Coturnix japonica: one gene and its partners. The protein of the gene in region 1 interacts with the protein of each later gene in a pairwise test. Links are inferred from orthologs where the notes say so. Each region holds a gene or a part of one and is shown in the gene's direction. Other genes may lie near its edges.

Region 1 (5,041 bases):
AATCTGAGGAAAAAGCCCTTGTACCTGGTGGGTACAAAGATAAAAGCAGCCTATTATGACTCCAGTGTGTCTTGTGAAGCAGAACTGGCGAGAAAAACAAGGCTGTTCTCACATCAAGCAAAACTGAAATGGAAAGTTTCAGAACTAGCACTCACTGATTCCTTTTGCTAAACTAATACATTAATCCTTAAATTAATGTGTTGAACCCTATTGCTAAGCAAACCAGCCTATGTCATAGTGTAATGTGGGAAAGGCTCACCTTTCCACAGCACAACAGTCCTGATGTTGCTTTGCAATAACCACAGCACAGTGCAGGGACTAACAGGGCACTGCAGGCTCCCGCTGTGCTCCTGCACCTGTATAGGGTGTCAGTTCTGCTCTACCAGATTCCCCTCTTAGTGGGGTTGCTGATTCCTCCTCCCAGTCCTGAGCAGCCAGATCAGTCCCAGCAGCCATTAACAAGCATCAGCAATCTCAGCTGGCATTTTGCTGGAAGGTTTTCATTATCTCAGACCCCTGTGGTGTGGAGAGGGTCATGAGAGCAGCACTCAGAGTACACACGGGTGCTGCCTTCTGCTCTGCCTTGGCTGTGGCAGGAGCCTGGAGACCTCTGGCACCACACCTGGTGCTGAGGCTGTATCTTGCTGTCCCAGCTCATAATTAACATTTGCTGCTTCCACTTCGAGTGGCTGAATTTTTTTCCAGTCTAGATTCACTAAGGAAGAAAAATGAGTATTTAAATGAGGTAAAGCTGGTTTTGACATTAGCAGGAAAAGATCTGTACAAAAGAAGAGAAATAGCCTCAGACTTCTGAACAGAGCAATGAATCTTTAGAGCAAATGGAAACAAATGAAAATCTAAAGAACTTTGCTTATGAAATTAGGCAGCAAAGAGCATACAGCAATGCCAGGCTGCTGTGTGATTAGCACAGCTTGACTGACCCATTTAGCAGACAGATGTCTAAAGGAGAAAGAAGTGTTGCATATTATACAGGGATTGCAAAACCATGAAAAAGCTGCTGTCATTTGGGGCCTGAAAACTATGGACCAGTAGCTGGTTCATGAGCCTGCCAGGGCATGCCATGCCTTGGATTATATTTGCTGGGAGATGTGAAGGGGATCTGAGTGGTGCCAGCAATTTTCTGTCCGTTCTCTGGGGAACAGGCATGGGGCCCAGTGGCAAACTGCAGTGCTCACAAGGGCTGGGCTGACACCAAGTCCCCACGAGTACCTGGAGACCCCAGTGAGGGTTCCAAGCCCCCTGTCCCAGTGCATCCCTGTGTCTGAGCTCACATGGAAGCACCTTGCTCTCTCCAGCCCCTGAAAGGAGGTTGTCGTGGGGTGGAGTTCAGCCTCTGCTCCCAGGTAACAGTTATAGGATGAAAGGTGGTGGCCTTAAGTTCTGCCAGAGTAGGTTCAGGTTGAATATGAGAAACAATTTCTTCTCCCAAAGAGCAGCGAGGCAGTGGCACAGCTGCCTAGGGCGTGGGGGAGTCACCATCCCTGGAGGTGTCCCAGAGCCATGGGGATGTGGCACTGAGGGATGCAGGCAATGGTCATGGTGGGGGTGGGCTGGGGTTGAACTTGGGGATCTGAGAGGTCTTCTCCAACATTAATGACTCTTATTCTATGATTCTACAATCTTAGTTTTGCAGGACATATCCACAGGAAGATAAATGAACACAAGTGTACCAGCAGTGAACATCTTTGTGAAACAGAACGATATGGGATTAGGAATCTTCGGCTGAGCATCACGCTTAGCTCTGCAGCCACAGATGCTGCGTTGCCCCAGATGACATCCCTGGCATTCTGGGCCGTGGGATCAGAACCAATTCTTGGTTTCCTAGCAAGAATTCTGAAGAGCTGCTCTGGGAGGGAGTTGAGGGGTGTGCTGGGACCCCCACCCCAAAATCTGCGGGCAGGGCAGAGCGAGGAGGCAGGAACCCGCCCCTGGCCGCGATGCGGAGGAGGAGGACGAGAAGGAGGAGGAGGAGGGGGGAGTCCGGGCTCCGGCACGAGGCCGGGCGGAGCGATGTGCGAGCAGGCGGCGCGGTATTGCCGGGCCGGTGTGCACAGGCTGCTGCGGAAGCCGGCGCCGGCGCTGCGCGGGCTGGACGGGCTGCTGCGCTGGGTCGGGGCCAGGATGAGCGACAAGGGCGTCGCCGACAGGGAGCTGCTCAGCTCGGGAGCCTCCGCGCAGAGGAAGGGCACCTCCGTCATCCTCGATGTGAGTGGTCCCGAGGTCCCTCAGTTGGGGTCAGGCATTCCCTTAGCGCGGGTCCTGCAAGCCCACGGGAGTGCACGGGGATTCCTGCAGCCCTCCTGCATCACGCACCCCCCGACCGGCTTGGTATTGGGGTTATTTCTCGGTTCTGCATCTCATTGCATGAGTCCTGCATCTCCTTGCATGAGTCCTGCATCCGTGGCTGGCAGCGGATAAGTGCAGTCCGGCTCCTACCCCGAAGCAGGTAGGAATAGGGTGCGGCTTGGTTCTCCATCTCCCGGACCCGTTAAGCATAGGGTTGCAGCCCAGACCCCACGTCCCCTTGCCTGGGCTCTGCACCCCTGTTCTGGCTGGATATGGGGTCCTGAACTCTGGGAGCAATTTAGGATTGGAATTATTCCCTGGGTCCTGCACCCCATGGGTTCGCTGGGGGTGCACATGCAGCATGTATGCCCGTTCTGCTCATCCCCCAGTCTGGCTGGGCTCCTGCATCCTCTAGACTGTCCGAGCAAGGGAGTACCTCCTTGGGTCCTGCACCCCCTTTCCCAAGTCCTGCCCCAACACCTGGGTATGGGAGTGTATCCTTAGTCCTTAACTTGGGGATGTAAGACTCCGAAGTAACACAAATTACTTGCAGGAAGGTCCCCTGGACTCCCTAGGTTTTGCAGCGCACCCTGGCTCCTGCACCTCAGTACCTGACGAGGCTGCAGCATGGTACTGTCTGCCTGTGGGTGCATCATCCCCAGGGTTCCCCTACCAGGGTCTGGGTGAACTCACAAGGGTGTGCCTTGTACCTCCACTCAGTATTTATAGGCTTCCTGATTAGTGGGCTGGTGAGGTTACTTGTGCTTAAATACATTAGGAGAATAGAATGAAATAACTGGCATGCAAATGGTGTAATTACACAGCTTTTCTGGCTGCAGCATCTAGCAATTAAACACATGCATCCTCAGCTCTGCTTTAAAAATAAAATGTAGTGAATGCATAAATAAGGTCCAGAGGCAGTGGCAGTAGTGAAGGATAACTTCGTGCTCTCTTAGCCCCTTCAGCATCAGGCAGCCAGAGCTCTGCCAGGCAAGCCCTTGTGTTTTCCTGGCCATTTGTAAGTGCTGGCATGGGTTGGTGAGTCTGAAACTCATCCTATATGTGAACACCATAGGCTGCTAGGCATTCCAGTTCCCTGGATGAACCAACTCAGCTGTGTCTATTGGGCAGCCAAAAGCCGAGGTGAGAGCAGAATGCTGATGGATGGTCATGCCTGGAGAAACTTAAAATGAGAAATGAAATACCCCTATGATTTTCTGTGTCAATTTTTTCTCTTATTTTATTTTATTTTTTTTTTTTTCTGCCCTGCTGAAATCTTACAGCAGTGTGGGCTTGGAAGCATAAGTGTAATGGGGGGAGCAATGTTAATTAGATACCTACAGATTCTTGAGTTAGGGTTGTGCTCCCAAAATAGAAACCAAAAACGGTACCTTATCTGTTCAACTTCACTGTCTTTAAGTGGATTTTTTATTCTACTTTGAGCTGAGAAAATGAGCCCTTTGCTTTTGAATGGTTCTGCCATTGGGACCTAGAGCAGTGCAGCTCCTCAGCCCATTTCCCCGTCACAGTGGAACTGGAGCCGTTTCTTACCTGCTGGAAAGAGAAGTGGGTTCTGTAAGTGTAAAGTTTGAGGGCTTGTGGTGTTTTGTTTTTTTCTGTTCTCCTCCTTTAGAACATGCTTCTCCCTTTTCTCCAGCTATAATAGAAACTTCAGTTTAAGTTGTGGCTTTACCATAACTGGCTCTTCAAGGGCATTGTGAAAGCAAGCTTTAACAACTGGGAAAATATGCATTTGGGTTAATTTTCACAAGGTAGCCAAAGGTAACAAAGATTCCACTGTAATCCTCAGGTCTTTCCAATTAGCTCATGCAGCTTCCATGCTGTGTGTGCATGTGGGAGAAACAGTTTGGGCTCCTCAGGGGATGGAGGAAGAGCCCTGGCAGATTCTGTGTTTAAATAACATCCTCATGAGTTGAGATGAGGATTAAGCTTGGTTTGGTTATGAATTGCTCAAGGTGGTTCTGATGCTAATAACATGCTGGTCACTTCTTCCTCATCTGTTCTGGATTTCTTTAGACTCAACATCAAAGAGTTAGTTCTGACTCTTCTGGGCCATGAGGGCAGTGATGGGTCAGTGAGAACTTTCCTGCTCCCTTTGCGTCCAAGAAACAAAATCAGGATGTTGTGGAGTGAAACCAAGTGCTGAGAAAGGAGGTCCAAGGGGAGCAGATGTCTTCTGCCATCAGCCTGGCTGCTGTTGCTTCAGGGATAAATCCCAGCTTAGGGATGTCTCCAGTATTTTCCTTTATTTTTCTTGTGTCCTTCTAGGTAAAAGTTGAATAATGTTTAATAGTTTGGCTCAAACTGTGCTAAAGCTGTCAAATGGCGAAAACCTGGTAACAGTCTAATGAGGAAGACATTTAAGTTGTCAGCATTTCTTGAAGCTTTCAGCAGTGAAATCAGGAGTGAGAGATGCTCCTGAGTGCTAGTGGCAAATGGAGCAGGAGTGGTGCTCAGTGGTGAGCTCACACGGTGTCACAATATCCAGGGTTTCATCTCGGTGCTTGCATCCCACGATGAGATTGCACACTGCTGCCCTGTGATCAGGAGCCCCAAACTCAGACTGACAGCATACAGACTGCTGGAGATGAATGAAGTCTATACATAGCTTCTGAGACAAGGTTTTATATATCTGTTTATATATGTTTATATAGAATTACAGAATCATTAAGGTTGGAAAAGACCTCTCAGATCCCCAGATCCCTCCTAGCCA
Region 2 (4,839 bases), on another chromosome or scaffold:
CTGATGACATAATTTCAGCTCTTCTCTATAAAGCTGCTTTAGACAAAAATGTTAATCCCTTTGTTTCGGTTTATTTGTTTAGCTGAATTTAATTTGTAAACCAAGGATTAAAAAAATAATATTAATCGTTTTTACAGAATTATAACAGACCTGGCCTTTGCATAGTTGTTCCTTTCTTTAGGATATTCATAATCCTCCCATTTGAGTGCTTTGCAGTTTTAAAGCTGGTAAAATTGCGCTGGCTTTCTCACTAGTTTGTATTAGCTCTGTCCACAAAGCCTCCATTGTAGGAGAATAGAATAAGTAGCGTGGGCTGGGTATCATAGGAGAGTGTAAGCACGCAGCTTCACTTAATGTAACAGAGGGCTGAGCCAGGGGAAGGGCTCAAAAGGAGGGAAAGTATCAAGGCAGTAATGTCAGCAGTGTTATTTCTCAGGGTGTGGGCTGGTCGTAGCACATTTGTGGATCTCAGAGGAAAAAAAATACAGCTTAAATGGGTGATTGGTTGTGGACAAGAGTGTGGTTAGACAAGGGAGGCTGTATCTTTAGTAATCCTCAAAAGTTAGGAATGGCCCTTATCAGAGGACTTGGATTGCCCCCCGTTGGCAGAGATGTACAATACAAAGCGTGAACAGCAAGCAAGATGTTCAGGGTAAGAGCACAGTGTCAGTTCCATGCCTGAACTGATGATGAGTGATATAGGAGACATGAAAGTCGAGATCAGACTCTTCTGAGATGCCTTAAAGAAAGAGCAGCTGAATTTGTGTTCACATCAAAGATTACGCAATGAAACGCAGGGTGAGACGAACAAGAAGCTTGCAAGGAAGAGGAAGAAACCAACTGTCTGAGCTTTTCTGGTGTCAAAATATCTGTGTGGGGTGGCTTTGCTTGCAGAGGTGTTCATCTGTGAGTGCCCATGAGGGGCCATCTCAAAAGGACCAGAGAGGCACTGGTGTCCTCAGGATGAAGCTGCCAGAAATAGTGTTGGTCTTCTGTCTTCACTCCCCAAGTTCTAACTATTAAGTGATGCTGGTTTCCATAGGGATAAAACTTTGCAAGGACAAGACATGAATTCATGTGGTCCACACACACCCCTGTGAATCCCGTTGGTATTTTGTAACCTTGAGAAGACACCAGTTTGCCTTTATGCTATTGCTCTTCAGACACTGAGGCTCCCTGAAAGAGAGACTTAACCTTCCTTTTTCTGAGTCTTCAGTTCTTTCTTTCTGCCTGTGCATTTTGCTTAAGCTTCTGCTTTTTATCTTGGAAATACTGAAGGAAGTGCTGCTGTCAAGTGACTGATTGTAACATTTTCTATTTGTAGTTTCTGATTCTATCTCACTTTTCTCTCCAGGGCTTGGAACAATGGGCCGAGGCATCGTGACTTCTCTGGTTAAAGCCAAGATACCTGTGGTAGGCCTGGAGCAGGATCTGGAGTATCTGAACACAGGAAGAAAAGCCGTGATGCTCCTTTTGGAACGTGAGGCTATGAAAATGGAGCAGGGTGCCCAAACCCTGGATTTCCATAACCCTGCACGACTCCAGTTCACCGTGGACTTTGATGTGTTGAGGGATGTAGATCTAGTTATTGAAGCTGTGTTTGAGAACATGGCACTAAAGAAGGAAATATTCAACAAGCTATCAAGAATCTGCAAGCCAGAGGCCTTTCTGTGTACAAACACATCAGCCCTGAATATCGATGAAATAGCTTCTGTCACCAACCGCCCACAGCAAGTCATTGGCACACACTTCTTCTCCCCTGCTCATGTGATGAGGCTATTAGAAATAATCTATGGCCGTCACACGTCCCCCACCACCATTGCCACGGCCATGCAGCTAGCCAAAGTGATGAAGAAAGTTGGAGTGGTGGTAGGGAACTGTTTTGGGTTTGTTGGGAACCGAATGATGTTTCCATATACACAACAGGCAGTTTTCCTTTTAGAGGAAGGAAGCAGACCAGAAGACGTAGATCGGGTTCTTGAAGATTTTGGATTTAAGATAGGGCCTTTCCGAATGTCTGATCTTGCTGGGCTGGATGTGGGCTGGAGGTCTCGAAAGGACCAGGGCCTTACTGGGCCCTCACTGGCTCCAGGAACACCCGCCCGCCAGCGGCGTGGTTATCGCTACAGCCCACTGCCTGACCTTCTGTGTGAGAAAGGCAGGTTTGGCCAGAAGACTGGAAAAGGCTGGTATCAGTATGAGAAGGCTGGGGGTAGGATATCCAAACCAGACCCATGGATTCACAGCTTTCTGTCTGAGTACAGGGACACCCATCAAATCAAGACCCGCTTTATAGACCAGGAGGAAATCCTGGAGCGTTGCTTGTTTGCTCTTATCAGTGAAGGATTTGACATCCTGGCGGAGGGAATAGCGTCAGGCCCAGAACACCTTGATGTAATTTATATCAATGGTTATGGATGGCCAAAGCACAGGGGTGGCCCCATGTTCTACGCTTCCACTGTTGGGCTCCCTAACATTCTGGCTAAGCTGCAAAAATACTCTGAGATGCACCCTGATGTTCCCCAGCTACGTCCCAGTGCCTTTCTGAAAAAGTTGGTGGCTATGGGGAACCCTCCTCTCAATGACTGGATGTCCTACCTACACAGGCAGAGCAACAAGCTGTGATTTCACTGATACCTGCTATAGAAATTCCTTGGAGGTTGATCTCATGAAACAGCTGCTGCAATTGCACTTTTCCAATCAGAACCAAAGTGCTACAGGCTGATAAAAAATGTCAATTACCTTCCTAGGTGAGCCTGATCTCTGTCTCACCTTGCTGCAGGCAACCACTGCCATCGCCCACCCTTGCCTCTTGCCACCAGCTTCACCCACCTTCTTGGCACACTGCTGTGTATAAATGCATTTCATTCTCCTCTGCACTTAATTCTTGAGAGCAGTGCATCTCTTCCAGTCTTTCTTTGTAGAAGGGACAGAACAACACATGGCCCTCAAAGCAAATCACAGTGGGAGGGGAGAGCAAGATGGTCACCGTTCACCCAGGATCAGCTGGACCTACCAGATCCTGGCCTAAGTCTGTTTTCCAGTTTGTTCAGACCTTCCTTCTCCCTGCAGTGCAGTTTCCTCCACCCCAGATTACTTGGCAGTCCCAGATGCAGCCAGTTGGAGCCTCCTCCCTTCACACTGCTGGGGGAGAGCTGGCACATTTCAGAGGTAAATTCAAAGGTATTGGTGAGAGCAGCTTCGGAGAGAGAGCAGGGGGCAGGGCTGGTACTATCACCTGCTCCCTGCTGCCGAAAAAGATTCTAATAAATGACACAAAAGCCACATATGCATCAACCTGACTAACCTGCACTGTGCTGTTGGCTCATGACTGGCATTCTGCATCCAGACTCCATCCTCCTTTATCATCCACCTGGCTTTGTCCAGGCAGAAACATCTTCTGGCATCTCTTAAGTGCGGCTTTGCTTTGCTGTCACTCCCCCTATCTTGCCTGCCTGTGGCTACCTAATTGATCTAATTGACCAGACTGAAACCTGGCCTGGCACTTATCGGGTTTTTCCTTGCACAGAGGGCGTGCTGAGAAGAGCAGGGCTCGAGAGCTGGGCGGGCAGACTTCCAGCAGAGAGCAGAGCAGGAGTGAGCTAGAGCTCTTCCATGCTTTGAGCAAAGTCACCTATTGCTCACGTCTAGTGAATTTATCTTTTAGGTTGGTGTCCTCAGGAAGATTTACACTGAATGTCTAATTGTTGCTTTCTGTTTTAATAAAACCATTTTGATTATCTAATGACGGATTACTGGGTATCGTAAAGCAGAAGATGGAAAATGTGTTTGTTCTTTATACCTCCATTGCTTCTCTATGTGGCAGAACTCAATACACTCCCTGTTTGTGAAGGAGTTCATGCTGGAAGTGGTTGCATTCCACTGTTTTCTATACGTAGCTTCTTGTGCCTTTTATCCACTCTTGCCCCAGTGCAAAACTGGGGTCAGGAAACCCTCCAGAAGCCAGAACCTATTTCTTTGTTCAAGGGAGGATTTTCCTCCAGCACCAGAGAAAGCAATAACTCTTAGGTGCTGAAAACTGCTGCATTCCCCCCCCCCCATCACTTGCGTGTCACAGCTGAGTGCAATCCAGCATTTGCTCAAAGGTGAAGCGCTGCTTCCACGCGCGTGGGCTCCGCGTGACATGTTACACAACAGCACTGCTGCTGCTGGCGGCTGTCACGTCACTGGGCAGGACAGCTCTGGACGTGCTGTGCTCTACCCTCTCCTGGGCCTCCTGCCATGGGGTTCATTCGTACCAGAGATGGGTTAGAGAAGGGCATTGCCCTTGCAGCAGGAGTGGGCTGAGGAGGGGCGGGCATGTCCTTTATCTGCCTGAGAGATGGTAGTTTCTGGGTATCAAGCCCCGCCAGCATCAGCCTTGTGGCCAAAACATCTCACCTACAGCACCTCCGTACATCCAACATGCCCAGCCCCCTTCCCATCTCCCCTCGAGGAAATTACTGAGAACAGAGGCCATTGGCACTCATAATGCCTCTACTGACAGAATCTGTACATTCCTATTGACCAATGCATTGATTGCCATGTTCCAGCCAGCAAAGTGAAACTGCCAGAGCTCAGGGTGCAGCTGTGGCTCTGAGAGCAGGACCCTGCAGTCAGCAGGAGCACATGGGAGTCCTGGGCCCTCCACTGCTCCTCTGCTGCAGGGTCAAAGTGTGTCCAGAGGGAAGCACAGCCCCACGGGCCGAGCTTTAACCCCAGTGTCCCAGGCTCTGCTTGCTTGTCACACATCTGACCCAGATCAGTTCAAGCCGAGACTGAAGATATCCAGCACTGAGACCCGGGCTGTGAGCCAGCTCTAGTCCATCCCTCATCTTT
Region 3 (5,230 bases), on another chromosome or scaffold:
TGATGGAAAGCTTTAAAGAAAATAAAGGAAGTTTTTAAAGGCTTGCAGAAGTCAGCAAATACTCAGCAGAACAGAACTTTACACACTGTTTTCTATGTGTCACATCCCTGCAGTTCTTGAACACCTCCAGGGATGGTGATCCCACCACCTCCCTGGACAGCTTGTCTCAATTCCTGACTGCTCTTTTGAAGAAGCAGTCATTCCCAATACTCAACAAGAACCTCCCCTGGTATAACTTAAGGCCTTTGCCTCTTGTCCCATCGCTGTTATATGGGAGAAGAGAGCAACTCCCACCCTGCTACAACCTCTTTTCAGGGAGTAGTGGAGAACCATCCTACAATTCTGTGATCCCCAGCTCCCTCAACCTCTCCCCATATAGCTCGTACTCCAAACCCTTTACAGCTCTGCTGCCCTACTCCAGACATGCTCCAGGGCCTTGATGCCTTTCTTCTGTAGTGAGTAAATTAAACGCAGCACTTAAGATGCCTTGCCTTCACCAGGGCCAAGTACAGACAGACATTCACCTCCCTGCTCAGTTACACAGAATCACAGAACTGTAAGTGACAGGAAAAGGCAAAGTCCTCTGAGGATCCCTCAGTCCAACCCTCCCCCCAGCAGGTAGCATTAGAAAGCATCCCAGTGGATCCTGAGCATCTCTAAAGAAAGAAACTCCACCACCTCCCTGGGCAGCTTGTGTCAGGGCTCTGTCAACTTCACAGCGAAGAAGTTATTTCTCACGTTCAGATAGAACTTCCTGGGTTCCAGTTTGTGCCCACTGCCCCTTATCGTGTAGCTGGGCATGGCTGAAAAGAACCTGGCCCCATCTTCACGATTTCTACCCTGACAAGTGCTGCTCCCTCAGCCTTCCCTCCTGCCTCAAGGGCAGCCTCAGGGCTCCTCAAATAGAAGCTGCAGGCCCCGACCACCTCTGCAGCCCTTCATAGAAGATCCCTGTTACTAAAGCTGGGCTTTAAAGTTCTGCAGAAGACTGAACTCACAGCCCTAAGGCCCGAGAGCCCCCAAGTACAGACACAGCGCTAACACCCAGTGAGCCCTCCTCAGCAAACGCGTTTTAATTCCTTCAAGATCACTAAGGAAACCACCATCTGAGTTCACTTTCAACATACCAGGGCTGCTCCCTGAGTCTCTCTCGCCCTGAAGCGAGGAATAAAAAGCGAATTAAAAGGCATCACGCCCGGAGGCGTTTCCAGATCTCCATAACCAAAGCACGGTACAGCCGGGCCCCACCTGCTCCTCCAGCCGCTGGATCTCCGCCTCGTTCTCCTTCTCCTCATCCTCGCCGTCTCCTGATGAATCCGAGTCGCCTTCATCCTCCGAATCCCCCCCCGACTCGGGGTCTCCCTCCACCACACGCTTCTCCTCCTCCACCGCCGCCTCGGCTCCCGCCGCCGCCATCTTGTTGCAGCTCGCCTCGCTGCCGGCCGCTCTCAGCCAGCCGATGGGGTTGGCTACTGCGCGCCTGTCTCAATATTGTACATTCCCCCCAGCCAAAAGCGGTGAAAGAAAGGACGATAAACTCTCCCGACAAGGTTCTGCTCTTCTCCGCGTCCAACTGCCACGAAAAGCCGAGCAGCTCGGCCCGTTACTCCTTATAATTTAGTCTGCTGCAGAGGCAGCGCCACGGACACCTCAGGGCCTCGGCCTCCAGGGGTCCTTCGGGAGGGTTGGGGCAGAGCGCCGCTGCCAGGTGCGGGCAGACTCAAGATGGCGGCGCTGAGGGCGGCGGGGGCGGCGCTGCTGCGGCCCGGGCGGGGGGCGACGGCGGTGGGGGGGGCGGGCTACCACAAGAAGGTGAGAGGGGCCGGGTAGGGCTGTGGGGAGCCCATAGTGCCCGTTGGGGGTTGTTAGTGACACGTTGTTCTCGCAGGTGGTGGATCACTACGAGAACCCGCGGAACGTGGGCTCTCTCGATCGCAACGCAAAGAACGTGGGTACGGGCCTGGTGGGAGCCCCGGCCTGTGGAGACGTTATGAAGCTGCAGGTGAGGGGAGCACGGGGTGCCCTGTAAGGACACAACCATCAGTGTCTGCCACCATATGGCTGTGACATAGGATTCCTCCGTCACACCCCCTTTAAGCCCCTCTGCAGGCCCTAAAATCCAATAGACCCCCAGCCTTAAACTCGCTGTCCCTTTACGCCCCTCTGCAGATCCTAAAATCCAATAGACCCCCAGCCTTAAACTCATTGTCCCTTAAAGTCCCTCTGCAGGCCCTAAAATCCGATAAACCCCCAGCCTTAAACTCGCTGTCCTATCGCTGTCCCTTTGTGTGTGGTTCCTACGTGGAACTGAGCGCCCCTCTGATAACTCCCACAGGTGGAAGTGGATGAGAACGGCCGCATTGTTGATGCTCGCTTCAAAACCTTCGGTTGTGGTTCTGCCATCGCTTCCAGCTCCTTGGCAACAGAGTGGGTGAAAGGGAAGACGGTAAGGGCTTGGCTTAAGGGGCACAGTGGGGAGCAGGTACATATTCACACCCACTGCTGGGATCAGGGAAGGAAACAGGGGTCTAGAGAGGTGCTCTCCAGGTGTTACACTCACATAGAAGCTCAGAATGCAGTTTCATCTTTCCTGACTTTTAAAGCAATATTTGCCTTTTCTGGAAGTCTCCAATAAGCTGTGAAGAAGCTTTGGGTGCTACACAGCAATCGAAAATAGATAAAGAAAGCACTTGTATAGTGGAATGTCTTCCATTGGCTGATCTCCGTGTGCTTGGCATTGTGACAAGCAGGTTGTTTCTATATTACAGCAGAACAAACCTGGAACAGTCCCTGCAGTTGGTCAGCAGTAAAATAATGCTCTGGTTTATTAACAAGCACTGCACACTTTGAGACATTCCTTATATTTCATAGAATCAGGGGTTGAAATGGACCTCTGAGTATCACCTAGTCCAGCTCCTCTGCCAAAGGAGGTTCCCTGTAGTAGGTTGCAGATTTGTTGCTTGGCAGGAGCAGAATAAAACAGGTATTATTGAAAGGCCTTTCTTATGGTAGAACACTATCAGCAGCTTTTACTGCCTTCTCAGAGCGTGACTTTGGTTGGTTCCAGTGCTTTGAAGCACACCTGTATCAAATACCTGCGTGGTGTGTGGGCATCATATGTACATGTGTATGCCTGACTGATGACTGTACCCTACCCATACATTTCAGATTGATGAAGCATTGAAAATCAAGAACACAGACATTGCAAAAGAACTTTGCCTTCCTCCGGTCAAACTGCATTGCTCTAGTAAGTAAAGCATCAAACACGTTGTTATTTGAGAACACAGATGCTTTTGTACGTTCTCCAAATAAAGCTTTGCACACATAGCAGCTAAGGCTGACCCACAGTGGTGGTTATTGCTGGCTGCTTCTGCTTGTACTGCATCTTTTGTTCTAAGTGACTTGTCACTGTTATTTAAAGTGCTTGTAAATGACATTGTTTTGTGCTCTTTTTCTCCCCTAGTGCTGGCTGAGGATGCAATCAAGGCTGCCTTGGCTGACTACAAACTGAAACAGGATCCAAAGAAAGGAGAGTCAGAGCAGAAAGCAGACTAATTCCTAAACAGACTGTAGAGGTTGTCCTCATTCCAGTTCAATTTGCAGTGCAATTATTCTAGCTGTTAATAGAATCCTGTGCACTACTCAAGAAGCTGTAAGATACGCACAACTCAACGCACAACGTGTCACTGGTCATGTGTGTACAGCCACCCTGGTAGTGCTTAAATGACTGGAACGTGGGTATTTCAGCAGCCTGTGTCCTGTCAGGATTGGTTTTGAAATGGTGAGAGTGAAGGGCTGCTCTGCTTCAGGGCAACCCCCCGGTAGCTTCTCAAGAGAGAAAGAATCCTCCTGTTCCAGCATTGGAAGGGCTGCACTTTTTTTCTTCTGTATAGTTTTGCCTAATGTTTTACAAAGAGTTTGGTGGGAAACTTGGTTGCCTTGGTCTTTATGTGGGTCACTTTGTCAATCAATACAGTATATATAAATCTCATGTGGTTTGGCTGCAGCTGTGTTGGAGTTTGGTTTCACAATCTGTGACCTCTCACATGCTGTCTATCCCCTGCGTCACGCTGCTCTCTGGGAGGAGCTGGGATGCTTCACCAGGCACTAGAGGGCACTGACTGTGGGAGGTGAGCAAATAACAGCAGCTGCAGTTGGTTGCCAGGAAGCTCAGAGCCAGCAGCGTTAGCAGGACATGTTTGTGTTCACATCCTCCAATAGCAGGAGGGTTAATGTTGGAGCATCTTTTAAAAGCATTCAACCCTTTAGTTTGCCAAATACTGTTAAGGGAGATTAAACACACGCTGAGGATTCAAACCCAGAATGCAAATAGCTTAACTGGGATGTAATACTGAGGGGAACCTCCCTGGAAGAGCAGGAGTCAGCCTGTGCCCTCTGGGGGTGTCTTCTGAACTTCCCCCATCCCTTCCAGGGCAGAGAGAGCAGCCAGTGCTCTTGGTACTAAGCCAGGGGCAGAAGGGGATCCTTACCTGCTGCTGGAGCTGATTTTGGATGCTATTTCTGATAGCTTCTGTTGTTGCCTTTGGTAGTTTTAGGGCTGGATTCTCTTCATTTGTGGAAAGAAACCTCAAAAACACAGCCTGGCAGATACCTCCCCCGAGCAGCTCTGTGTGCACAGCTAAAGCTGCTCAAACTGCTTCGCTGGAGGAGTGAGTTATGAAGAGAGCACAGGGGTAGCACTCACCAAGTGGAGGATTTGCCCACCCACCACATGAGCTGGGCTCCTTGGGAGCGTGGGGCACAGAGTCAGTTCAAAACAGGCGTTTTATGGCCACACAGCATGGCTTACCCTCTGTTCTTTAGACCACTGTGCTCCCCTGTGCCTCACAGCGATGGCTGTTTTCCAAGGGAGTGTTGCCACAGATCTTCAAATCAAAAGAAAATGCACTTAAAAACCTCCCTTGCTCTTATAACATCCTCACCCCACGCCCCACCCTATCTTCCTTTCCAGTTTTCATACCTATGATGTTGCACAGCTGCATTAAAAACAACATTCAGTAAAAATAAGTGGCTCGTTCTGGTTTCTGTCTGCAATGTAATTATTTTTTGAGTTATTATTTTAAGTTGTTGTCACTCCTGTTTGGGGGAATCCTTTGGTTTCCCTGCAAAATGCTGTCAGCTGGAGTAATGGGGATATATTAAAAGCATAGAGCGACATTGGTAAAAGGATGTGAGGTGTAAGGATAGATGACAGCAGATACAGTTGCTT
Region 4 (4,548 bases), on another chromosome or scaffold:
CCCCAGATCTCTCTTAGTTTAAGTGATGTGCTAATTGTAGAGCAATTGATTTGTAGAATAAGGAAATCGCATAAACACTTCCTTCAACTTTTTTCTTCTCAGTAAGTGTTTTTCTTCTCAGTAAGTTGTGAAAGGTCAGCTATTGCTAAAGTGACATTCTGTGTGAAAGAGAACTGGAGGCCCTGGCTGGGCTGCTGCTCTTCTCCCTGGCTGTGTCTCCTGCTGCCAAAAGCACCAAACTTGAATCTTGTCTGATGCCGACAAAAGCCCTGAATGGATGAAAGATGTCGGTATGAGCTTTCTGCTTTCAGACTCAAGAGCCTGATGGCACCTTTAGAATCTCATCTTGGAAATGTGGAAATGTGCATCTACATCCACCACAGCCAGGAGTGTGCAGCAGAAGTGGTAACAGTGCAGCAGAAGTGGAAACCGATGTACGCTCTGCAGAAATGCTGTGTTGGCTCCCTCCATGAGAGTGAAAGCAATTTGCTTGGTGTGGGTTACGTTGACCTTTTAGCAAATCTAAGTCAGATCCGACCTGTCCCAGAGCTGGCATCAACAAGCAAATAACCTCAGAGCTTGACCTTTACCACACCACGTTAACTTTTCCTTTAGTGCAAGTGAACAGTATCTAGTTTTATAATATTACCACTGAATTGAAAATCATGAGTGCAGAACATGTCCCTGTCTGTGTGAAGGTTTTCTAACATCTGGCTGTGATCTGAGAAAGGTACCACGGTGCTGTAAGGCCAAAAAACCCAGTGCCTCACATGTCCGCCTGAACTTCCTGGAGCTTCAGGAGGAAACGGGAAAATCCTTCATAACTTAAAGGCAAAAACATAACACTTATACATGCCGTTACTTCAACTGGGCTTTGTAATGTTTAAGAAAACGTTCAGAAACTTGGACATGTTGCTGAGGACTTCTACTTAACTACCACAGCGGTTCTTGGATTAAGAGTTGTAAGACAGAAAAATAATCATTTCATTGTGTGTATAAGTAACTGAAATAGATTTTCTGCATTTCCCATTTTTCACACCTCTCGTTGTCATCATTCAGAATGCCTGATTTATTTTTGTAGGCAGAAGCTATCCCCAGAATTAATGCAGTATTACTAGAAAGAAGACGAGAACTGCAGAAGGAAATTGATATGAAAAAGAGATGTTTAGCTGAACAGGTGATGAGTTCTTCATTCTCATATTAATTCCCTGTAATGGTTGGTTTTCTGTCATGAGAATAAAGGAAACAATATTTGAACTGACCAGCAGGACAGCACAAATCATGGAAGTTCCCTGAATAAACTCTCCTTTGAACTACAGCAAAGACTCGGGAAAGTCCAAATCTTGATTTCAGAATTACCACATCTCTTTGAGGTTCTTAGCATAGAAGGTGTTTTCCAAACCTTTTGTAACACAGTTTATTGCACGCTCTGATTCTGTTGCTTTTATATTCAGCAGCTGGAAGTGCTGCTGGATGGAGGAACAGAAACTTTGCATGTGCTAAAATATTTTGATGTTACTATGAGATCATGTGTGGTGCTTCAGATGGTATTTTTAAAGTCAGCTTTATTATTCATTTATTTTTAAATCCGTGCGGTTCTATATAGGCATGCTTTGTAAATAACACCAAAGTGTTTCAAACGTTGGGTTTTCCAACACTGATAATACATCAGCACTGATTTCCTTCAGGAGATGATATCAGACACGGATGCCCGCACATTAGAGGAATGCATTGCTGAAGAAGGCCGGTTGTTCAAGGAGCAGGAAAAACGCCGCGATGAGTTATCCAGACTCGCACGTCTGACTTGGCTCAAAGTTGAAGAGAAGGAACAGAAATCGAGGGAATTTCAGAAAGTCCAGGTACAATAAATCTCACATAATTGAAAGTCTGCTCTAAAGCAAAAGTTCCTATATGAAGAAAATAAATCACTGATGAGAGGAACCTCACAGACTCTCATTTCCCATTTTACCTCAAAGTTCCATCGCAAACATTCATCACAGCTGTCCTTGTTCATTGCAAAGGAGTTGGATCTTTAAAGAGATGAGCTTTAAAGGTCCCTTTCAACTCCAAGGATTTTATGATTAACACAGGAAGCTCATAATACACTGTTAGTTTGGTGGCAATTTATAGTGACATATAACAGTGCATTGAAATATCATGCTACAGTTGAACTAAGGTGTTTGAAAGGACTTTTTCTTTCAAGCCTACAGGATAAAATGAACAACCATGGAAGAGGCAGAAATGCAGATAGCCTCAGCTGAGGTCCTTGGAAGTACAAGAAGGTTGTTTTGTTTTGCAAACATTGACATCAGAACTATTCACTCGAAGGAGAGACACCAATTCTTATTTTCCTGATACACTTCAATACATAAATCAGTCTATTTATTTGAAGGAAGGGGGAAAACTTCCCTGTTCTTCTGGCTAAATATCGAGAACAGACTATTTACACTTCCACAACGTATGTCTGCCTTAAAATAAATTGGACGGCTACCCTTATAGTATGCTGTGAATTTCTGACTGTCTATAGAAATAGATTACAAGGAGCAGTTCAGGCTTTGCAAATTCAATAAAAATAAGTCCATAAACAGACAAAACCATTAAGAATATAATTTTGTTAACAAACACTCCAGCCTAGAACTGCAACCAGACATCCACCAGCTTCTCTAATGGCCATATTGTCCTCTTGATATCAGTGGGAGATGAGAGAAGGTTTGTCCACTGAATGTAAGGCACACAAACTAGTAAGGACTGAACAGAACTGAAATCCCTATTGAAATGTAAGTGTTCTGTGCTACTCAATCACCAGAGACTGCTGAGAAGGCAGAGAAAGTTTTTTTAAAAGTGTTATTACAGTAAAAGCATCTCACTGTAATTAGGATAATTTTTTTGAAGAATTTTGACCGTATTTTTCTCATCTAAAAGAGCTGTTCTGTTTCGCTTTGAAAATATTGCTTTGAAAAATCTAAAGCGCTTACTGAATTCTATTTAAATTTCAGATGCAGTTTCAAAATATTATTAGAGAACTAAAAAGAAAGGATCTTGAAATAGAACAGCATAAAAAGAGGAAAAGAAGAGTTCAAAAACAGTAAGAAAACAATTACACATTAGATAAAGTTATTCTCATCCAGATAATGTGTGCATAAACTTGTAAGAATTATTTCTTTCACACTTCTCTTCAGACTCCGAGGAGCTGCTAAGATTTGTGAAGTAATCAAAAATGAAAGGAATAAGTGTATACATTTGCTTAATATTGCTCAGCAGAAAACTACTGAAATTAAAGAGCAGATAAAAGTAAAAGCAAGTGAAAGTGAAACTTTAAGGAATACTCTTATGACCCAAGAAAGGTGAGTTTTAACTAAGCTGTAAATCACAGAGACAGAAATGGGAAAGATTTCTTAGAAAGAATCCTATTCACAGTTACTACCCTGATTTTTAAAACCTGATCCAAACAAAGAAATACTGCAGCACCCTCACAGAACCTGCTCCATTCCTAACAATTTACAACTAGTTTGGGCATCACTGCATGGGAAGGAAGTGCTTTTGAAGTTTGTCTGCCCTCTTCCTCATTTTCCTTTTCTTTCAAGTGAAAAACTGTCTTTATACTTCATTCGTATAACTGTTCTAAAGCCTCAAGCATCTGAATATGAACAACTGTTGTACCCATCCTTTGGCAAAAAGAGTTCCAACCCACACACAACTCCACTACAGACTGGATGGTACCAGTAAATGAGTCGCTAGCTAGTAATATGGCCAATTAATTATTAAATTAGAACTGAGTTTCTTGTTTCAAACTCAAATTGTATTCTGTTGGATAATATTTATTTCAGATCAAGCAAAACACAGTTTCAAATTCTAGGCAGTCCTCATCAAAATGAAAGCTTACACTGACAGCAAAGAGGATAACAAGGTGCAGCTGGTGTTTGCGATTCTGTTTTTTCCTTCATTGTTACTTAGTGGAGATGCCTTTTTGCCATCTTTTTGTCATCCTAATGGTGATTTTCTGCTTCGCATATATAGACAGTGACAGTATAGCTGAAATTAGTAGTTGGGAAAGCAGGAAACTAGGAAAGGGTTAAAACTGTAAGCAAAACAGTGCAGTCAAAACTACGTTTACAAATAATTTGTTTTGCACAAAACTTTGCTTTCTGGTGCCAAAAGAAAAACTGCACAACCAGATGTAAGACTGCAATCAGGATAAATTCAATCTATATACATAGTGAATCTCCATGTGCCTTGACTTTGGAGCCATGCTGGAGCAAGTTGGAAAAGAGGTGGAGCTTGATGGACTGAAGTGATTCTGAGGACGTGCATTTTGTGCTCAATTTTTTGAGGCCTTCCCAATAAATTACTTGTGAGAGGAAGAGGAAAAAAGAAACAAAAGGGTAAAAATCCATCATGGTATCCCTGACTGAACTGCAAACTACTCGCTTTGGAAGACAGAGTACCGGTTTGAAAGTTTATTTCATATTCCATTTAATAATTAAAAATAAAAATAAAAAATGCTGCATTTCTCCTATACCTCCATTCTGTCATTCTGAGACTTGATTG
Region 5 (4,548 bases), on another chromosome or scaffold:
ACTTTCATCCCAATGGGTGCTCTTTCCCATTAAAACATCAGGCTTCAGGTAGGTTCTTCTCCAGGTCTGTAAACTGGAACAGTTAATACCAGAATGGATCAGCCACAGAACCTGTGCAGTTCACCTTTCTGGCTGTGCCCTGGGAAGAGTGCAAAAACCTTAGAATATTCCTTACACTGAGACATCTGTAGTGGAAGAGCAGGAATAGGTAAAATATCTGTTCTCCTAACTCATATGCCTGTGCTCTGGGATCATTGACCACTCTTCTGGGAAAAAAAGACTACACTAGAATGTACTTGACTATCTGAATCTTTTATTTCCTATGATGGTTTTGTTTAATTTTTGCAAACTATCATGCCTCCTCCTTTTATTTTTTAATTTCCTAGGCAAAAAGCTATTCTGAAGCTCTTAACTGGTACAACTATTCTGTCAGCTTCTATACACCTGGGCAGATAGATCAGAATCTGGCTAAGTTGCAGAGAAATATGGCTTCTTGTTATCTTCATCTGAAACAAATTGACAAGGTATATATATTTAATTACATTGCTTTCGTGTTTGTAGCTAGATCATTTGGACTTAACTTACAAGTTTAATCTTTCAGCATTCTCAGGGCTTCTCCTGCTTTCTAATTCTGTGGCTCTAATTGAGGAATTGCTTTCTCTAGTCATTGTCTGCCCTTGGTGTTATCTTCTGCTCTGATTGCTTTTCTTTCTGGGGAGAGGGGATTGTTGCCAAAGCAAACTTGTACAGTAATTGTATAAACATCTATAATGAAACCATTACAATTTTAAGCTCTCTTCTATTGCAACATTGCACTGAATTCCTATCTCTCCTGTGTATAGGCTAAAGAGGCAGTTAAAGAAGCAGAAAGATGTGATCCAAACAGCATCTTTACTCAGTTCAGTGTCTATAAGATTGCAGTGATGGAGAATGATACTGATAAAGGTAGAACTTGATAGACAAAAGGGTCCGCTACCATGATCAGAAGTGTTGAGAGTTGTAGATAATACTCAGCAGACGTGGACTGTTAGTTCTGGGAAAGACACAATAGGGAGAAGATAAGAGAAGGGTCTAGAGAAGGGTCTATAAAATCACTGAAACCAACAGGCTGTAGATTTTGAGCTGTCAGAGGGGGATGTTTTTTTACACATAGCATGTAACATGTGGAGTCTGTTCTCACACCCGGAATATTGTCCAGATGAAGTCTTTGTCTAGGAATTTTCTAATCTTGTGGGCAAAACTAGAGCAGCATCCCAGGATGAGAATCACTGTAGCCTTGCTATTTCTAATGTTCTTTTATAAGTATGTACAGCTGGAAAAGTGCTTCAGAGTTAGATGAACTTTAGCTGAACCATTATCACCTCTCTTGATTTCTCTGGTCAAGCAGAGCCTGAAGTTACCAGAAAATAAACGAGCTGACTGAGATGACTTACAGAATGACATATGTCTGTAGACTCTTTCTTCTGCCGTTTCATATTTTAATGAGAATCCCAGCTCAAATAATCAGAATTGAGAAATATAGTCTATATACTTAACTAGAATACAGAGTAACACACAGATCTTACTCTTCAATGAGTTCTGTGCTGATTAATTATTCTCTATGTCTTTTAACTGACAGCCTAATTTGCTCATATAATACAGAGTGGGAACTACAGCACAGTAGGAGCATAAAAGCAGCAGCAGCCTTAACATGAACCAAGATGTGGGAGCTTGGAAGCCTGCCCAGACAGTGTATTAAAGAAAGTCTTCTGTGACAAAAAGACGTTTAGCAGAGCAAAATTAAGAATATGTGAGATGCAGTTTTGTTTGTGTGGCATCCTTGTTTCCTTAGATGAGGAGCTTAGAATGCCTTATTGGCCCCTCTGGGAAGAAATGCGTAGTTGTGGAGAGCTGCTCGTATGGTCAGGGTTTCTTGTCTTTCTTTTTCCTATTAGAAAATAAAATGACAGCCTTTGATAAGTTGCCTTATTAAAACAGTGGAACTTTACACCTTCCCGTTGCTTCCATGAAAGAAAAACCCAACCAAACAAAGAGCCCAATGATTGATTTTTCTCTATGTGTATTTCAGCTGTGGAAGCAATTATTGAAATGGGGAAGCTAGCAGAAAAGCCACCTCAACATGAAGACAAGCTGATAGTGGATGAAAATACAAGCACAAACCTCCTGAGTTTGGCTGCCCACATTGCTTTAGAGGTAGAACAGATAACACTGTCCTTATTTTGCCTTATTCTACAAGTAGGACAGCTGTAACATCTGTAACCTGGCCGACTTTTAGTGTTTCTATTTCATGCACTTTGAAGTATTTAATGCTTGTGTGAACAAAGTCTCACTATATGTTCTGAGATGTATTGTGTAAAGCAAAGTGGAAATCGACTTCATGTATGAATAAACTGTTATTTTCTGGAAAAGAAGTGATTCTGAATTGTAAATGTTCATATCTAGAAATGCCGTGGCATATTTCTGTAAGATTCTCTTCAGCAAAATGTTACATTTCTTCCTACCTCTGGGATTTTATCTTTGCAATGCTAGAGGAACCTTTGTGCAAAATTACATAAGGGAATGATGAAGGAGTGAAAAAACTTTTGTCCCTCTGTTTGCCTCAATAAAGAGATCACTGATCAGTGACAACAATGCCTGAACTGGCTGATGACAGTGGCATTTGCAGGAGAGGCTGTTGGGTGCTTTGTAGGGCTGTAGAGCATTCTAAGGCATGAAGTCCTTCCCAAATTGTACTGATCCTATATTGCATTAGGCTCTTTGCATGTGCAATGGTATCCCTCCTTGTGGTTTTCTTTCAGCTCTGAGAGAAATTCTGTGTAGGTCTTTTGCTCCATTTATTTTTTTATTCGTTGTTTTGTTTTGCAGAAACTGAGCAAGTACACTTTCATACAGATTGTGCTTTACTTGTTTTTCAGAATGATCAACAAGTTGTGGCCATCAGAGCTTTGGAGCACCTGTCTGAACATTCACAAGACTGCCGACAAGTATTTGCAGCTTTAAAGTAAGGGTTTGAGATATTTACAAGGAAAGAGAACTCCGGTTTCTCTTTCCAACAAAAGTGATTTTGTTGAGGGAGGTGGAGAGCAGATGAAAGCTTAGTTAGCAGTGCTTTTGGTGCTGGGGATGTACCTCAGGCTCAGACTCTTAGTGTTTGTATAGATTTCAAGTCTTTTCCATGCAAGCACCAAGATTTATGACTTGGTAATAATATTCTTCTCAGCTTGACACCACATTCCTTTGTGAGCTATAGGAACTGATGGCATAAGGAAGAAAGAGGGATCCTTTCTGAAAGCTGAGAGTGAAGGACACTGTTGGAAAAAAAAATCTTGTTTCTTCACAGTTGTGGTTCCTCTTATGTTGTCAAAAGTAGAAAAAGAAGAGAAAAGGTGAGTATGTGTGTAAAAAATGTATGCTTATGGTAGATAAATTATACATGTAGTGTATGCTTTGTCTTCTGAAATAATGCCTGATATTTGTCAGAGCAGTGATCATATCAGTTATTACAAAGCTGTTGTTTTCCTGCATCAATAATGTAAGATAATATTGTAAGAAAATTAATCAAATGTTATCTAAAGCGTGATTTTTCCTCTGTTTTAGAGATGAAGACATCAAGTCAATGCTGACTTATTTGACCTTGGGTATGTTTTTGTTGTGTTTATATTTTCTGTAGTTCCTCCATGTGTTTTATGATATGATTAGGTCCATACTGACTCCTTATTTCAGCCCTATACTGAAATTTCCTATACTAGCCATTCTAATGTTTTTTTCTAAGCTTTGGGGGTCAATCATATTAGATGTAAGTTGTGAGAATAACCCTCCATCAGGGATTACATGGGAGCTTTGGGAAAATGGTATTTGTAATGTAGGTATTGGACTTGGAAATGTTTGTATTCTGCTTAGAAAATGCAGCCTGTCACCTAAACAACATGTTTTCTGCAGCTCAACAGAGACTTGCTGAACCTTTCACAGAAGAGAATTTGACGAGAGATGTAAGAACTTCAGAAGCCCACTGGTTTAGAAAAGTTGGTAAGCTGCACTCTTAAGATCTAAACTGAATCACCTCCACTTCCATTTAGCCTGATCCTAAGGAAAGAGGAAGTATTTGAAGATTCAGTATTATGAAAGGAGTCACCTTTGGCAGTCTCTGCTTTAAATGATCTGTTGCATTTTTTGTCTTCTGAAACTGCCTGGTATAGCTCATATTTTAACTCAAATACTTGCATGAGGTCTATGTGACTGATGGGGTAGTTAATACTGCTCTTTACCACAGGAGCTGTATGTGCCCATGATACAGCTATGCAGGGCTCATATATTTTCTCCTGCTTAGCCCTTTGCTACCAAGATTATGTTACTGAAGTCAAATGCAAGATTACACAAATAGAAACTAACAATGATTTTCTTTAGGGTCTGAAAAATGTACTGCTAAGGGGCAATAAAAAATAGCAACAAATACTGAGTATGCATGTTGTTAGGAAGATTAAATCAGCATTAGAAAGGTGAATGTGCTTCCATCAGTAGTGAACGATGGGATTGTGGTTCTGTTTAATT
Region 6 (4,548 bases), on another chromosome or scaffold:
AATTAAGGTAGCTGTGGCAGTGTAACACAGTGTAGCAGTTTCCTGGGGCAGTTTTCACAGGGACACGTTTTTCATTTTTAAATACTCACCCTTGCTGCTAATAAATCATCAGATACCTGAAACTAAAGGAAAATCAAAATGGAACTTTGTGCTAATAGTGGCCGTCCTGCTTCCAGCAGAGCTGCAGAGTACTGACTTTGGGAAGCTCTTTTCCCTGAGGGCAGCTCATGCAGCAGCTGTCCCTGTGGCCATGTGCGTCTGTTTGCTGCAGCCCACCAGGAGCTGCTGCTGGAAGGGTCCAGCCTGGCTGCTTCAGGCACTGCTGACAACTGTGAGAAGAGCTGAGCCCGACTTGCTGCAGAAATTCTTCTGCATCGTATTTTCTCTCCCCGTTCATCCCCCCCCCACCCCAAAATATTTAAAATACCTTTGCATTTTAAATTAAGAATTAGTCATTGCTCAGATGCCAGTCGTGCACTATTAATACACTAATGAGATCAGGTTGTGCTCTCGCTGAGTGAATACTTGCCAGAACTCTTGAAACAAAGTACTGAAAATGCTGGGGCTGCCACTAAATGTTTCCTTGTTAGTGCTAGGGACTGCAGCAATGCAGCTTTTAAGTGGATCTCCCCTAGGACACGTGTGGATGGTGAATATTTAGCTTGAAATAACATTCCTTAGTCACACAAAAAATCTACAGCATCCTATTGGATGGGAATGGACATCAGTGTGGCTGCTGTGCATGTGCTGTATATGTGGGGAGTGCATTTCTGGGCTGGCAGTGCTCCCAGGTCTGGGTCCTTTCTTTTCAATACAGCTCAACATCCATGCAGTGTTGTCATGCTGAGGAATAATGTGCTCTGGTGGAGGTACAGGATGCAATGCCAGGGGTTTGTGTTACAGGTGCTGGATTTCACAGCTCTCCACTGTGCTGTCCACAGCATGAGTGAGGTTGCATTTCAATCTGTGTCCTGACTCATATCTCCACAAGTTAGACCTTTATGCATAAAATGGAGAGGTTGGTCTCTATAAGGTATGAAGGGTGAAGTCAGAGTGAAGTTGGTGAGCTTTAAGCCTGATAGTTCTGTGGGATTCTTATATCTCGTGCTATGGCCTTTTGCTGTGTGATGCAGCTGTAATGCAGAGCACTCCAGTTCCCATGTCCTCAGCAGTGGCCTTCTCATGCTTTCAGATGTGGACCTGTGGAGTGTGTACTTGTGCTCAAGCACTGTCTGTCTCTGAGTAGCACCTGGGCATTGTTTTGCTCTTCCATGTGAATTGAGATGTGTCAGCTCCCACATCTCTCTGTTGAGTCTGTAACAAAATAGATGGTAAGCTGGGATTCATAGTTAATAAGTGCATAAGAATTGGAAGTTTAGGGTATTTTCTGTGTTTGAATGATGTATTACCATCTCTGGAAGAACACACACAGAGTTGGATTCATGTTGAACATAAGGTATAATGTACTGCAGGACATTAGAAGATGCAGACCCTAAACCAGAACTTAACTAACATGATGCAGGGTAAAGCATGCCTTCTCCTTGCCCTGCGTGTGCCTCGTTGATTGCGCATGCCTCAGATTATCAAAGTGCTTTAAATGCTTTAGAAGCAAGCAGTGTGTGTCTGCTTGGAAATTTTCCAGGGCTGGGTACCACTGTGCTCCAGCACAGGGAATGTTCTGCTGGCTTGTAGCTTGCTCTGCTGGTTTGCAAGGACTGCTCTGGTGCTTTGGAACGGGCTGGAAGCTGGCACCACTGCAATCTACTGTGAGTTCCTGATGCCTAGCAAAGGTGTCTGCATTAGTGACACTGTTGTTAGATTCCATACTCAAGTCTTTTGTAGTGCACCTGAGAGCGAATAAAGTGCTGTATTTTGTCTTATGAATTGACACCAATAGTATTTGTGATACAGCTGTCCTTGCCCTTTACCCTCGGGAGCACTGTCTCAGCTCGCCCTGTTGCTGTGCTCCCTCCACTTGTGTGCAGACATGCTTGCACTTGGGTTTGTCTTCTGGCAGCTGCTGCTCGGGGCAGTTGGCGCTGCTTTGCTCTGGTTTGGGGAATTACACACGTTAGAGGAGGGCTGCAGGGGATGGACGGTGTCCCAGTGCTCATTCCCATGAAGTGTGTGCTGATGGCTCTCTCTGCTCACAGCCCGCAGGTCCAGCAGCGCTTGGCATGTGGGCATGGAGGGGCAGCACGAGCACCCGCAGCATCTGGGGGACCAGACCAGCGCCCTTTGCAAGCTGCCAGGCCAGGACTTCCAGCACGACCCACAGGTGAGCATGGCCAGCCCTCACCTTCCCTTCTCTGCCCTTCTTTCCTCAAAGACCTCTGCGGTTCTGAGCCCTGTGGCTGTTTACTCCTCTGTTAATAGCCAAGGTATATCCAGTTTGGGATGCTGCCTGCCAACCAGTCTCCTGGATCCAATTTTTGATGATGATAAGAGAAAAAGGAAACAGTTTAAATTTTGCTTAGTTCAAGTATTCTTTAAGCAGCCTGTAAATACATGTTTTGCGTTGGCTTTCTCTGCTCTTTGATTTTTTTAAAGAAAAGGCTGAAGAAAAGCATTTGTTTGAGTGTAAACAAATAATATTTTATTTCCTTGCATACTTTGATAATAAGTGCTGAAGAGGTAGTTACAGAATACCAGATAAAGTTCATTCTGTGTCAAGGCTCAGTGACTCTGTATTCAGAGAGCTTCTGGAAGGTTTCTGCCCCATTGTGTTGGGTGGATTCTGTTTCCATCCTGCCTGGCAGTGGTTCCCCTTCTCTTCCCTCCTTCTGTACAGCAGAGAGCCCCGACCTGCTGCCTGGGTGCTCTGGCCTTGCAGCCAGCAGTGCTTGTGGCTCCTGGGGCAAATAAGGGCTGCTGAGAAAGCTGTGCCTTGTGCCCAGTGCAGGGTTTGCAGTGATGATGAGTTGCCTGCACGTACAGCAGTGAATGTATCCCACACAGCACTGCTTGGAAAATACATCGTATGGAGCAAAGCCCCCCTTTCCTAATGTAGCAATTTGTCATATTAAGTCACTTAATAATAATTGAATCCCCTTGATTAATCTCCTAGAATTAGCCAGTTGCATTTTGAGCAATTAGGGTTAATTACTGCCTCATTTGGCAGGATAGAGCCCCTGTAATTATTTCATGAACAAGATTAGGAAGTGTTCCTGTGTAGCAGATACGTTCATGGCATCTTGGAGCACATGTTAGAATTTGTAATGACATAGTTAAATGTAATTAGTAGCTAGTAATCTGCGTGCTGCTGTTGTGCTGATGCTGAGTGGGCTCATTTTGCCGCATGGTCACCGTGCAGTGAAACCTCCCCTCAAGGCTGTGAGCAGCCAGGTTGTAGTGGTGGGACTCCTGCAGTAAATTGTCTGTCTGGAGAAGGATTAGAACTGTAGGGAGACTTGCTTAGATTTTGTTGTTGTTTGTTTTAAAAGAAGCAGTAAGTGTGGTTTAGAAATAAGCATGAGTTGTCACGCTCACAGGGCAGGCCCATGTCTGGTGTTGGCATAGGATGACCTGTTACGTTCCATTCAGCAGCAGAGGCTCTTTGGTTTTTCCAAATTGCTTTGCTTATTTCCATGTTACTGTGAATTTCTCTCTCTCCTTGTCATGAACTACTACAAAGAGCTGTCGATGGAGATGGTAAAACTTTGACATTCAAGCCAAGTTCTTCAGCAAACTTTAACTTGTGGGTAACATTTGAGGTGAAGGACACCTCATGCTGTAGTGCAGTCTGGTTTTGAAGCCACAAAATGCAAAACCTGATGTATTCTTCAGTAATTACTTGACTGCCTGCTTGAAGGATAATCCATATTTTAAAAGTTTCCTCATCTCTTGTGAGCTCAGAAGTTCTTTTTTTAATCAGTCTGCTCTAAAGTGTTCTCATAAATTCACACTGGAATTTCAGCCTCAAAGTATCTGAAATTCTTTTCAGGTGAGCATTACTGAGTGGAGATGGGTGTACAATTTGGGACATCGTAAAGAGGCTCTGGAATGCTGCTGCTGATAGTAAATCATTGCCTATAATGTATACGTGTTCAGCTGTAGGGGCTACAGCTTCTCCATCTCCTATCACAGATGTCTTTTAAAGGTGAAATTAGTTTACGGTAAATGTCATTCAGATGAAGTATGCACTTTAGAAGCAAGGAAACAGTTGCTTTAAAATTAATGATGCATTGCAAATATCAGAAAAAAAACTTATATCCTGCATAAAGATAATTAAAATTCAGGTCAGAGCTGTATGACTTCGTCAGGCTAAATTTTTTAATGAGATTTCAGAAAATTAATTGGGCGAGTATGTTTTTTACTCTTCTAAAGAGTATTTCATTGCATGGCTTTACAGGAAAGAAGCTTTTATTAGTATTGGAAGGCTGCAGCATCTGACTTTTAACTGTTGATTTACTGATTCTTAACAATTTTAGCTTGACTAAAAATACTGGAAGCCTTGGTGCAGCCTTGTAGTGCCCACAGACTGCTGAGCAGTGCCAGTTTTCCACACAGCAGTCAAACTGCAGCAAAGCAATTGAACATATCATTAAT

Evidence for each region.
Region 2: the proteins of NECAB2 (region 1) and EHHADH interact in binary tests that used the Homo sapiens proteins (3 or more experiments, as listed by UniProt). The two-hybrid records come from large-scale screens. The link is inferred for Coturnix japonica from reciprocal best matches to the Homo sapiens genes NECAB2 and EHHADH.
Region 3: the proteins of NECAB2 (region 1) and ISCU interact in binary tests that used the Homo sapiens proteins (3 or more experiments, as listed by UniProt). The two-hybrid records come from large-scale screens. The link is inferred for Coturnix japonica from reciprocal best matches to the Homo sapiens genes NECAB2 and ISCU.
Region 4: the proteins of NECAB2 (region 1) and CCDC146 interact in binary tests that used the Homo sapiens proteins (3 or more experiments, as listed by UniProt). The two-hybrid records come from large-scale screens. The link is inferred for Coturnix japonica from reciprocal best matches to the Homo sapiens genes NECAB2 and CCDC146.
Region 5: the proteins of NECAB2 (region 1) and TEX11 interact in binary tests that used the Homo sapiens proteins (3 or more experiments, as listed by UniProt). The two-hybrid records come from large-scale screens. The link is inferred for Coturnix japonica from reciprocal best matches to the Homo sapiens genes NECAB2 and TEX11.
Region 6: the proteins of NECAB2 (region 1) and NEK6 interact in binary tests that used the Homo sapiens proteins (3 or more experiments, as listed by UniProt). The link is inferred for Coturnix japonica from reciprocal best matches to the Homo sapiens genes NECAB2 and NEK6.

The regions. Positions count from the first base shown.
Region 1 is NC_029526.1:121,703-126,743, forward strand, and holds the start of NECAB2 (N-terminal EF-hand calcium-binding protein 2), read left to right. Parts: upstream 1-1,984; 5' UTR 1,985-2,031; coding exon 2,032-2,226; intron 2,227-5,041. UniProt on the Homo sapiens protein: May act as a signaling scaffold protein that senses intracellular calcium.
Region 2 is NC_029524.1:2,549,321-2,554,159, reverse strand, and holds the end of EHHADH (peroxisomal bifunctional enzyme), read left to right. Parts: intron 1-1,354; coding exon 1,355-2,625; 3' UTR 2,626-3,745; downstream 3,746-4,839. UniProt on the Homo sapiens protein: Peroxisomal trifunctional enzyme possessing 2-enoyl-CoA hydratase, 3-hydroxyacyl-CoA dehydrogenase, and delta 3, delta 2-enoyl-CoA isomerase activities. Catalyzes two of the four reactions of the long chain fatty acids peroxisomal beta-oxidation pathway.
Region 3 is NC_029530.1:5,668,096-5,673,325, forward strand, and holds ISCU (iron-sulfur cluster assembly enzyme ISCU, mitochondrial), read left to right. Parts: upstream 1-1,713; 5' UTR 1,714-1,725; coding exon 1,726-1,812; intron 1,813-1,888; coding exon 1,889-2,002; intron 2,003-2,335; coding exon 2,336-2,446; intron 2,447-3,168; coding exon 3,169-3,247; intron 3,248-3,463; coding exon 3,464-3,555; 3' UTR 3,556-4,006; downstream 4,007-5,230. Other genes in the region: SART3 (squamous cell carcinoma antigen recognized by T-cells 3), read right to left, coding at 1-10, 1,249-1,416.
Region 4 is NC_029516.1:11,449,843-11,454,390, reverse strand, and holds part of CCDC146 (coiled-coil domain-containing protein 146), read left to right. Parts: intron 1-1,081; coding exon 1,082-1,177; intron 1,178-1,688; coding exon 1,689-1,859; intron 1,860-2,996; coding exon 2,997-3,085; intron 3,086-3,179; coding exon 3,180-3,344; intron 3,345-4,548. UniProt on the Homo sapiens protein: Essential for sperm flagellum biogenesis and male fertility.
Region 5 is NC_029519.1:2,408,999-2,413,546, forward strand, and holds part of TEX11 (testis-expressed protein 11), read left to right. Parts: intron 1-386; coding exon 387-524; intron 525-842; coding exon 843-945; intron 946-2,068; coding exon 2,069-2,193; intron 2,194-2,915; coding exon 2,916-3,001; intron 3,002-3,338; coding exon 3,339-3,386; intron 3,387-3,597; coding exon 3,598-3,638; intron 3,639-3,939; coding exon 3,940-4,026; intron 4,027-4,548. UniProt on the Homo sapiens protein: Regulator of crossing-over during meiosis. Involved in initiation and/or maintenance of chromosome synapsis and formation of crossovers.
Region 6 is NC_029532.1:7,821,476-7,826,023, forward strand, and holds part of NEK6 (serine/threonine-protein kinase Nek6), read left to right. Parts: intron 1-2,153; coding exon 2,154-2,278; intron 2,279-4,548. UniProt on the Homo sapiens protein: Protein kinase which plays an important role in mitotic cell cycle progression. Required for chromosome segregation at metaphase-anaphase transition, robust mitotic spindle formation and cytokinesis.